Cricetulus griseus: one gene and its partner. The protein of the gene in region 1 purifies or fractionates together with the protein of each later gene. This does not show direct contact. Links are inferred from orthologs where the notes say so. Each region holds a gene or a part of one and is shown in the gene's direction. Other genes may lie near its edges.

The links.
Region 2: the proteins of Otud6b (region 1) and Otub1 fractionate together in Homo sapiens (co-fractionation; 4 studies listed by BioGRID and IntAct, with this or other methods). This does not show direct contact. The link is inferred for Cricetulus griseus from reciprocal best matches to the Homo sapiens genes OTUD6B and OTUB1.

What each region holds. Positions count from the first base shown.
Region 1 is NC_048595.1:128,752,144-128,756,752, reverse strand, and holds the start of Otud6b (deubiquitinase OTUD6B), read left to right. Parts: upstream 1-1,593; 5' UTR 1,594-1,670; coding exon 1,671-1,752; intron 1,753-2,398; coding exon 2,399-2,550; intron 2,551-4,609.
Region 2 is NC_048596.1:52,251,801-52,256,145, forward strand, and holds the start of Otub1 (ubiquitin thioesterase OTUB1), read left to right. Parts: upstream 1-1,355; 5' UTR 1,356-1,447; coding exon 1,448-1,505; intron 1,506-3,518; coding exon 3,519-3,580; intron 3,581-3,825; coding exon 3,826-3,924; intron 3,925-4,345. UniProt on the Homo sapiens protein: Hydrolase that can specifically remove 'Lys-48'-linked conjugated ubiquitin from proteins and plays an important regulatory role at the level of protein turnover by preventing degradation.

The sequences.
Region 1 (4,609 bases):
ACTGGGGACCACAAATTCACACATGTAAGCCTTTGTGGGGGGCATTCTCATTCAAATTACCATGTTCAACTTATTGGTCCCTGAAGCCTAGTGTCTATATTATAATGCAAACTGTATATAGTCCAACTCCATAAATCCCTATAGTCTCTAAATTTGGCAGGTATACAGGTCTCATATCAAAACTACTTTTCTCTATGATTTGTATTCCAATGTTTTCTAGCATTTAGAGTTGCAAGAAAAAAAATTTACGATCATAACTTGATTTCTCAGTAGTCTGGATACTTTCCCCTCCTCTGACATTGAAAATGGAGAAAACAGAAAACATCTAGATGTTTTCTCTTCACAAGAATTTAAATGTACCCCTACTAGCTTTATCCAGTGTAGGCCCAGTTCATTGTCCATCTCTGGAAAACTGTCTTCCATTCCTTCCAGAATAGTTGTTTCAACTTCATTTGTTTTGTTCTTTTTCAGGCATTCCTATTAGTTAACACACACACACACACACACCCCAAACAAAAAACTCAACGTATTAAAGGTGTGCACCACCACCCGGGACTCAACACACTTTTATTAAACACACACACACACACACACACACACACACCCCAAACAAAAAACTCAACGTATTAAAGGTGTGCACCACCACCCCGGACTCAACACACTTTTATTAAACACACACACACACACACACACACACACACACACACACACCAAACAAAAAACTCAACGTATCCTAAGGGTACCAACACTAAACAATGTTTCAAAGCGCGCGCGCGGCGCGCGCACACCCCCCCCCCCCACACACACGGACACACACAGACACACACCCCAAACAAAAAACTCAACGTATCTACACTAAACAATGTTTCAAAGCACACACGCACACACACACACACACACACACACACACAGACACACAGACACACACACACACAGAGACACAGACACACACACACACAGACACAGACACACACACACACACACACACGGACAGACACACACAGACACACAGACACACAGACACAGAGACACACACAGACACACACACACACACACACACACAGACACAGACACAGACACACACACACACACACACACACACACACACACACACACACACACACAGACACACACACACACACACACACACACACACACACACACACACACACACACACACACACACACACACACACACACACACACACACACACACACACACACACACACACACACACACACACACACACACACACCCCAAACAAAAACCTCAACGTATCCCAGCGAAGGGTACCAACACTATGTTTCAATGTTTCAAAGCACAAATTGAAAGCTGCGCGTTCGTGACGTCATCTCAACGCGCCTCCCATCAAGGCCAATCGCCTGGCGCGTAGCCTGGCGCTTTGGAAACTCGCGCGCCAGGAGCGTGTTCCGTCGCGGAGTCTCAGCTTCCGGCGCGCAGTCCAGAGCGGTGCGAATGCGCAGGCGCTCTGGCTCATGCCGGCTTCTCCGGGTTTCAGTGGTTAGCCCTGGATCCGGAGCCGCCTTGAGGCGGGGCTGGGCCTTGGCGGCGGCCAATGGCGCCCGGGGTGAGGGTTGAGGGGTGGGAGGTGCTGGCCTGCTTGCCGTGTGCCGCTCGTCCGGCGCGTGTGCCCGGCCACCTGGTCGTCATGGAGGAGGCCTTGGTAGAAGAGCTGGACGATGAGGAGCAGCTGGTGAGAAGGCATCGCAAGGAGAAGAAGGAGCTGCAAGGTGACGGCAAAGGGGCTGGGAATCTAAAGGTCGTCCCCACCCAGGGCTGGGAGCGTGGCGTGTGACCCCGAGGACCTGGAGGGGCGACCGGCCTGCAGCCTGGATTTCCCCGCAGATAACTTTGGTGTGTCTTCTCCAGCCTTCCCCGCTCTCTCGGACCCCCGTTTGCAGTCCTCGGAGGTGTCCCGTTGGGCTGCCTGCAGTGCACCCCGAGGCGGTGCTTCGCTTTTGCTGCTGGTGATGTCCCTGGAGGCCGAGGTCTTGGCCCTCCTCTGCCACCCTTCCCATTCCTGCCTGGTTCCGAACACTTGACCTTAATGGTGTGCTCAGAATTGCTTTTCTTTATTCTTATGGTCGCAGAAGAGCTATTTGAGAGGCAGAAGTTGTGTAATTTACAATTTAATAATTGCTTTTCTTAACTTTATTTTGCCCCGTCAAACCAAACATTCATGGCGGTTGTGTTTAAGAGGTGTATGTTGAATCTCAAGCCTCATCCGGGCTTTTTTCTCTGTAGCTGATTGTTGTGTCATGACTAATTGCTTCTATAATTACATTACATTCTGTAATTATGCCTCTTGACATCTTACTCCTGCTGTTCGCTCTCTCTTCCTGGTGCTCTGACACGATGGTTTTGGTAACCTTTTAGCCAAAATTCAGGGAATGAAGAACGCTGTTCCCAAAAATGACAAAAAGAGGAGGAAACAACTCACTGAAGATGTAGCTAAGTTGGAGCGAGAAATGGAGCAGAAACACAGGGAAGAACTGGAGCAATTGAAGCTGACTTTGAAGGAGAGTAAGGTATGGGGAATAAAACTTGTTTCTGAGCCTTTGGAAACAACCGTCTGTGCTTGTTGAACTCCTTACTGTGTACATTCACAAAATTGGAAGTGAAATCAAGTCATGCAGTCACATTTACACATCACATTTCAACGTTACTATTTTTTGAGACAAAGTGTTATATAGTTCAGGCTGCCACCATCTGGGTTTGTAGCAGAGGATAACCTTGAACTTTAGATCTTATTGGCTTGGCCTCACAAGTGCTGGGATGCACCACCACACCTAGCTTTCCATTTCCTCAGTATTTTGGGACCAGGTTTATTATTTCTTTAAGGGAGATGAGCAAAGAGGGAACTACTTACTTAACCTAGTGATGAATGTGTAAAGCATAAAGTGTTCTAGAGAAGGTTTCTCTTGAGTGGACAATGGAAGACTAGACTTCTTGTCAAGGATTACTGATGAATAAGATGTAGCCTCTGAAAAGTTACTCAAGCAACCCAAGAATAAATTTCTCCACTTACGACATGGTGACAATTGTTTTGTGTATGGTTAAGGTTCCTATGAAAAACAAATGGGGTGACAAATGTGAAATCATGTTGAAGTTATAAAAAGTGCTTTGTGATCCAGTTGTAATGAATGAAGTTTTAGAGATGCTTCTTGTGTAAATGGGACCGCGATAACATGCATCTTTTCAGTGTTTATCATTCGACCTAGTGGTATATGCCAGCCACTTTGTTCACTGTATGGTATCTAGTATTTCAGTTAATTGTCAGTAATACTGTAAATAATACCTGTAAAATAAATGTAGATAATCACACTTTTCCAGTAGGAAACACACTTAGAAAGATTTAAGATCTTTATCTTAAAGTCATAATAGCTACTGAATGCCAAAAGCTAGAATTCAAAACTAGGCCATCAATTGGGCAGTGACTGGCAAACATCTTTAATCCCACACTTGGGAGGCAGAGGCAGTTGGATCTGAGTTCAAGGCCAGCCTGGTCTTGAGAGTGAGTTCTAGAACAGCCAGAGCTACACAGAGAAACTCTTTCTCAAAAACTAACCAACCAAACAAAAACAAAACCAGGCTATCTTTATACCTTTGGGTAACATAGTAATTTGTTGCATAGGTTTTGGAGATGAAGAGTCATATATTCCGCAACTTTAGTTAACTGTTGTTAGGAATTTCTTAGTTCTATGCAAGATCTCATCTTCCATAAGTTTTCATTCACTTTTGTTCTGTAGACAAGGGTAGAGTGTCTTCGTGTCCATTTACACAGAGTATTAAATATAGTTTCAAAATCTTTAATTTCATTACCCAGCCATCATGTTTGTGGCCTCTCTTACTGTTAAAATACTTTTATCTCCAGCTTGGCATGGTAGTACATCCCTATAGGCCCAGCACTCAGGAGTTTGTGAGTTTGAAGCCAGCCTGGGCTACATAGCAAGACCCTTATCTCAAAACCCAAAGTGTCAAGAAAACTTTTTTCGTCAATGCCATTATAGCTCACCAGGTAAAGGGGTGCTTGCTGTTAAGCCTGATATCCAAGTTCTATCCCTAGAACCTCCACGTAAGAAAGAGAAAATTGACTCTCATAAGTTGTCCTCTGACCTCCATATGCTGTTTGACATGTGCACACACACACAGTTAAGTGTTCTGTCATGTCAGGATTGTGCTGTTCCTAATTGTCTCCTGTGTTTTCCAGTAGCAGGATGTTTTGTTTGCTCTCTTAGGCTTTCAGTTTCAAGATTTTCAAAGAGAAAGAAAAGTTTGATTCTTAACCATATTTCACTTACCCGCTAAGATGCAAATTCTCTAGTCTGCCTTGTCTTCCTTTTCATTAACTTAAACTTGTTTTCTTTTTAGTCTCTACCTTAATCTGAATTGTTTTTTTGTCAATATGATGTGAATTTTGGCAGAATTTAAAAAAAATGCAAAATAATAGATTCAGTGAAGTTGTTAAACTACTTGAAGTCTATCAGATTTTGGTAATTTTGTCACTTGCATCTGTTGCAGCTTCTTTGGGTCATATATTTATCATACTAAAAACTAGCTTGACTTAAAGTCATGAGGTACTAGCTG
Region 2 (4,345 bases), on another chromosome or scaffold:
TCAGACGACCAAAGTTTTATTTCCAGAGCCCATATAAAGATGGAAAGAGAATGGGTTTCCTAAAGTTGTACTCTGACTTTCACACAAGCCTCTTGGTACATACAGCCTCCCATACAGTAAGACAATAAAATTAACAAAAGACACGATTTCTATTTGGCTTTTCTTTTTACGTTTGTTTTGTGAGTCTCATTGTGTAGACCTCAGTAAGCTAGAATTTCTGTAGACCAGGCTGGCTTCTGTCTTGTAGAGGAAGAGATCCACCTGCCTCTGCCTCCTGCGTGCTGGAATTAATGGTGTGCACCATGCCCCCTAGCCTGTAGTTTTTTCTTAATCTTGAAGAGAACTACAAAACAACTCTACCATGGTCTCTGTTACCTGGACTAGGGAGTTCATACAGGAGCTGGAGTTGGGACTGCTCAGGACAGAGAACTGCTACACTGGAGAATAAAAAGGAGTCCCTTTGTGGCTCAGTGCTGGCTATAGCCAGGCTTGTAAGCATTGCAGCTAGGGATATAGCCCATTTACCCTTCAAGGCTACCAACCAAATAAATGAACACCTTCCTCCTGCAAATTCAGTTTGGTGTTTGCATTTCAGGGTGCCTTGGGCCTGCAAATGAGAGTGTTCTTTTTTCTACTGGTCTGCCCCCATTTAACAGTTTAGAGATACAACCCAAGGAATAGGGGAAGCTTTGGTAAAAATTAGCAAGGATGGTCACTTTTGGGCCCAGTTTTGAGACAGGGTCTCATGAAGCCAAGCTTGTCCTGAAACTGGAGGATTACCTTGAACTCTCTGATCCTTGTCTCCACCTTCCACGTGTTCGGATTATGGATTTAAGTCCATGCTTTTAAATGGACCTGCTTCCTCAACCAGGTCGAGGCTTTTGGTTCGACATCAAGGGAAAGATGTCCTCTTATTAGAAACAGGTCTTCAAAGCTTGCAGAGAACAGGCTCAGTGGCGAGGGGCGAGAGGTCTCGATTTAAGGGCTCTGAAGGGCATCAGGATGTTGGCACCACTTCCTGTCTCGTGGTGGCTCCGCGCTCCGCACTGCAGCTTTGGTGGCTCGTGTACCTCGAGTGCACGCGCAGAAGGGATGTTGCCTTCCGTGACTTTAATTCCATCTTGCTCCTTATCTCAATTACACAACCTGCGTTTTAAAGCTAAAGTCCAGTAGACCGAAAACAGAAGCAACTCCAGGGGGCCCTTAGCACCTCATGACCTTCAGGAGGGTGGGGATGTGGAAGCGCGCGCCCGCGCCCCCCGCGTCTCCTGGGGTCACGGGCCCCCGGGCTCTCCAGGGCCCGCAGGAGCTGCCCAGCCCCTGACAACCGCCAAGGGGAGCCTGTTGCTAGGGGCGTTGCGAAGGAGGGGCCACGAGGAGGGGCTCCCTTCCGGGAGGAGGGCGATTAATAACCCGGAAGCGGTCGGCAGTGCGGCGCTGTTTAAAGATGGCGGCGGAGGAACCTCAGCAGCAGAAGCAGGAGCCGCTGGGCAGCGACTCCGAAGGTACGGACCAAGGGAACGATGTCCTGCCGGGGCTGGCGGGGGCGAGGTTCGGTCGGCCGCTCCCGAGGAGCTCCGGGAGGCAGGGCCGCCGGGGCCCGGGCGCAGCGTGCCGCGGAGCCCTCCGCCTCCTCCTCCTCTCCCCTCCCCCTCACAATGGAAGCAGGCCCGCAGCGACCCCCGGCCGGGCGGGGCGGTGAGGACCGCCGCTCGGCCTCTGGTGCACGCCTGGGGCGGGGCCTGGGCCGCCCCGCCTCCACCCGTCCCGCGGCCTCGGCCGGCTCGCCAAGTCAGCCTGCCCGAGTCCTCGCAGTCAAGCCGAGGCCTAGGCCTGGGCCGAGCCGCCCGCCCTTACCCGAACAGCCGAACGGCGTTGAGTGACGCCGAGCTGCCAAGCATGAAGTCCCCTGTGGGGCGTTCGGGATGCTGCCTGCAGCCCTCTTCGTTAGAGCTCGTCTGGCCTCCCCTAGCAGATGCAGGCATTGTTTTCCTAGTTCTCTGGTCCTTAAAACAAAAAAACCGGTCACGCCCTCTCCATGTCTACCATGCATGAACTTGGGGTCTGGGGATTAAGTTTCTCTAGTGGGAGGGACCGCCCTGTTGTGGGACATAGGCTCAGCTGAGAACCTGGACATGCACACCCTGCTCTAACTCTACACTCTAGACTAGCAAACCCAGGTACGAAGAAAGAAATTGTTCTCGATCATATATCTAAGAAGGATTCCGGACTAGAATTAGTGTCTCCTGACCCCTATCCAATAGTTGCTTGGAGTAGGGTCCACAGGATGAACCTCCCAAATCCATGGATGCCTCTAGAGAGTGCTTAAGTATTACTTGGTGCTTTCAGGATCCCAGTGTATTTTGATGATGGGAGCAAGGTGTTGGCATTAATCCATTCTTCAGGTAAGGGTAGAGGGCTTCGCAGTGCAGTGCAAGTGACATTGCCAAGAGCTCAGACTGGAATTGTACAGATGTGGACATGCCCACAGCTCTTCACTGGTTTTGACCTTGGGCAAGATGGAGTCGCTTCTTTGCATTTGTTATTTGCAAAATGAGCACCATTAGCAATAGGACCACAGAAGGATAAAGGGTGTGTCCCAGCAAAGTGCTTGTTGGAGAGATGCTCTCATTCCACCTAGGGCTCCACCCACCTCATCTTGCTTTCCCCCAGAGACTCCCTTCCCCAGCCAGGATGCTACAGATAATGTTAGAAATCAGGGAAAAAGGAATAGCAAGGCTGGAAGAGTGTCTTGATAGTGATCTTTATTTTGTCACTTTTTTGTTTGTTTTGTTTTTTGTTTTTCGAGACAGGGTTTCTCTCTGTAGCTTTGGAGCCTGTCCTGGCACTTGCTCTGTAGAACAGGCTGGGCACGAACTCACAGAGATCCGCCTGCCTCTGCCTCCTGAGTGCTGGGATTAAAGGTGTGCGCCACCACTGCCTGGCTTGTCATTTTTTATTTACTGCTTTTTCGGGTTGCTAGAAATAGAAGCCAGGGCTTACACCTGCAGGACAAATATATTTTCTACCACTGAGCCTCAACCCCAGACCTGTTTTCTTCCAAGATAAGGCCTTGTGTATTTCCAGGGTTGATCTTGAACTCCTAGGCTTCTTTATCTTCCTGGTCTGGTCTGTAAGTGCTGGGACTTAGAGCTGTGCACTGTGCTGCTCACACTACACCCCCCCCCTTTTATTTTATTTTTGGAGACTAGGCTTTGTGTAGCTCCAGTAGCCTTGAACTTGTGGTCTTCTTGATTTACCCTTGCAAATAACACCATACCGGAACAGCTACCTTCTCCAAAAGACAGGAAGTGAAAACCTAAAGAGGAAGGACTTTGCCAAGATTACACAGTGGAATATAAGACACGGGGCTCCATATTCCAAACCTGTTCTGCCAAAGCTGCCTGCCATAGAGATAGCCAGGTCCCCACAGTAACCCTTGCTTGGCACTTCTTCTTTTTTTTTTTTTTTTTTTTTTTTTTTTTTTTTTTTTTTTTTTTTTTTTTTTTTTTTTTTAGGTGTTAACTGTCTGGCCTATGATGAAGCCATTATGGCTCAGCAGGACCGAATTCAACAAGAGGTGAGAGGTTGGAGAAGGCTGGGGAGGCAGAATCTGAGGATTTTATGGTTGGGTGTATAGTCAGGGCCTGAGGCCTAGTGTCTGTTTTGAAGCCCTCCCCTCCCCTCCAGTCTATGCTAGGCACTCCATGCATTTATGGGGGTTGCTGTGCCACTGAATGACCAGCCCAGAACCCCTTTTGTAGATGTTAGGTGTGGGTTACTCAACTTCCGTGCCAGAGCATGATGGATCCCTGCCTCCTGCAGATTGCTGTGCAGAATCCTCTGGTGTCGGAGCGGCTGGAACTCTCAGTCCTGTACAAGGAGTATGCTGAGGATGACAACATCTATCAACAGAAGATCAAGGTGGGATCCTGGCCAGAGGGGCAGGAGGAAGCCTGTTTCAGCCCTGCTTTTTGCCAGGCCTAATCTTTGAGAGGGTAGGGTGTTGGGGGGCTTGGGACACACCTCTCATTGCTAGTTCTTGAAGTGTGCAGCCTCTGGACTGAGACCTCCATTCACATCAGATTGCCACTCAGCAGCTGTCTTCTTGGCAGGTCCTTCAGTGTCTCTGAGCCCTGAATGTCCTCATCTGTAAAATAGGGACAGTGAAAGCATCTGCCTGTAGGGTGGCTGTAAGGTTGAGGTAGGTGATGCTCAGGTGGGACCAGGTGCAGGCTGGGTGGGCACTGACAATTCAGTACCCAGCCAGGGGACAAACTTGCTGGTGTTGGGATGGGTAGATGGGTTATATAGAGACCTGTCCTACAGTCTGTCTGTCTGTTGG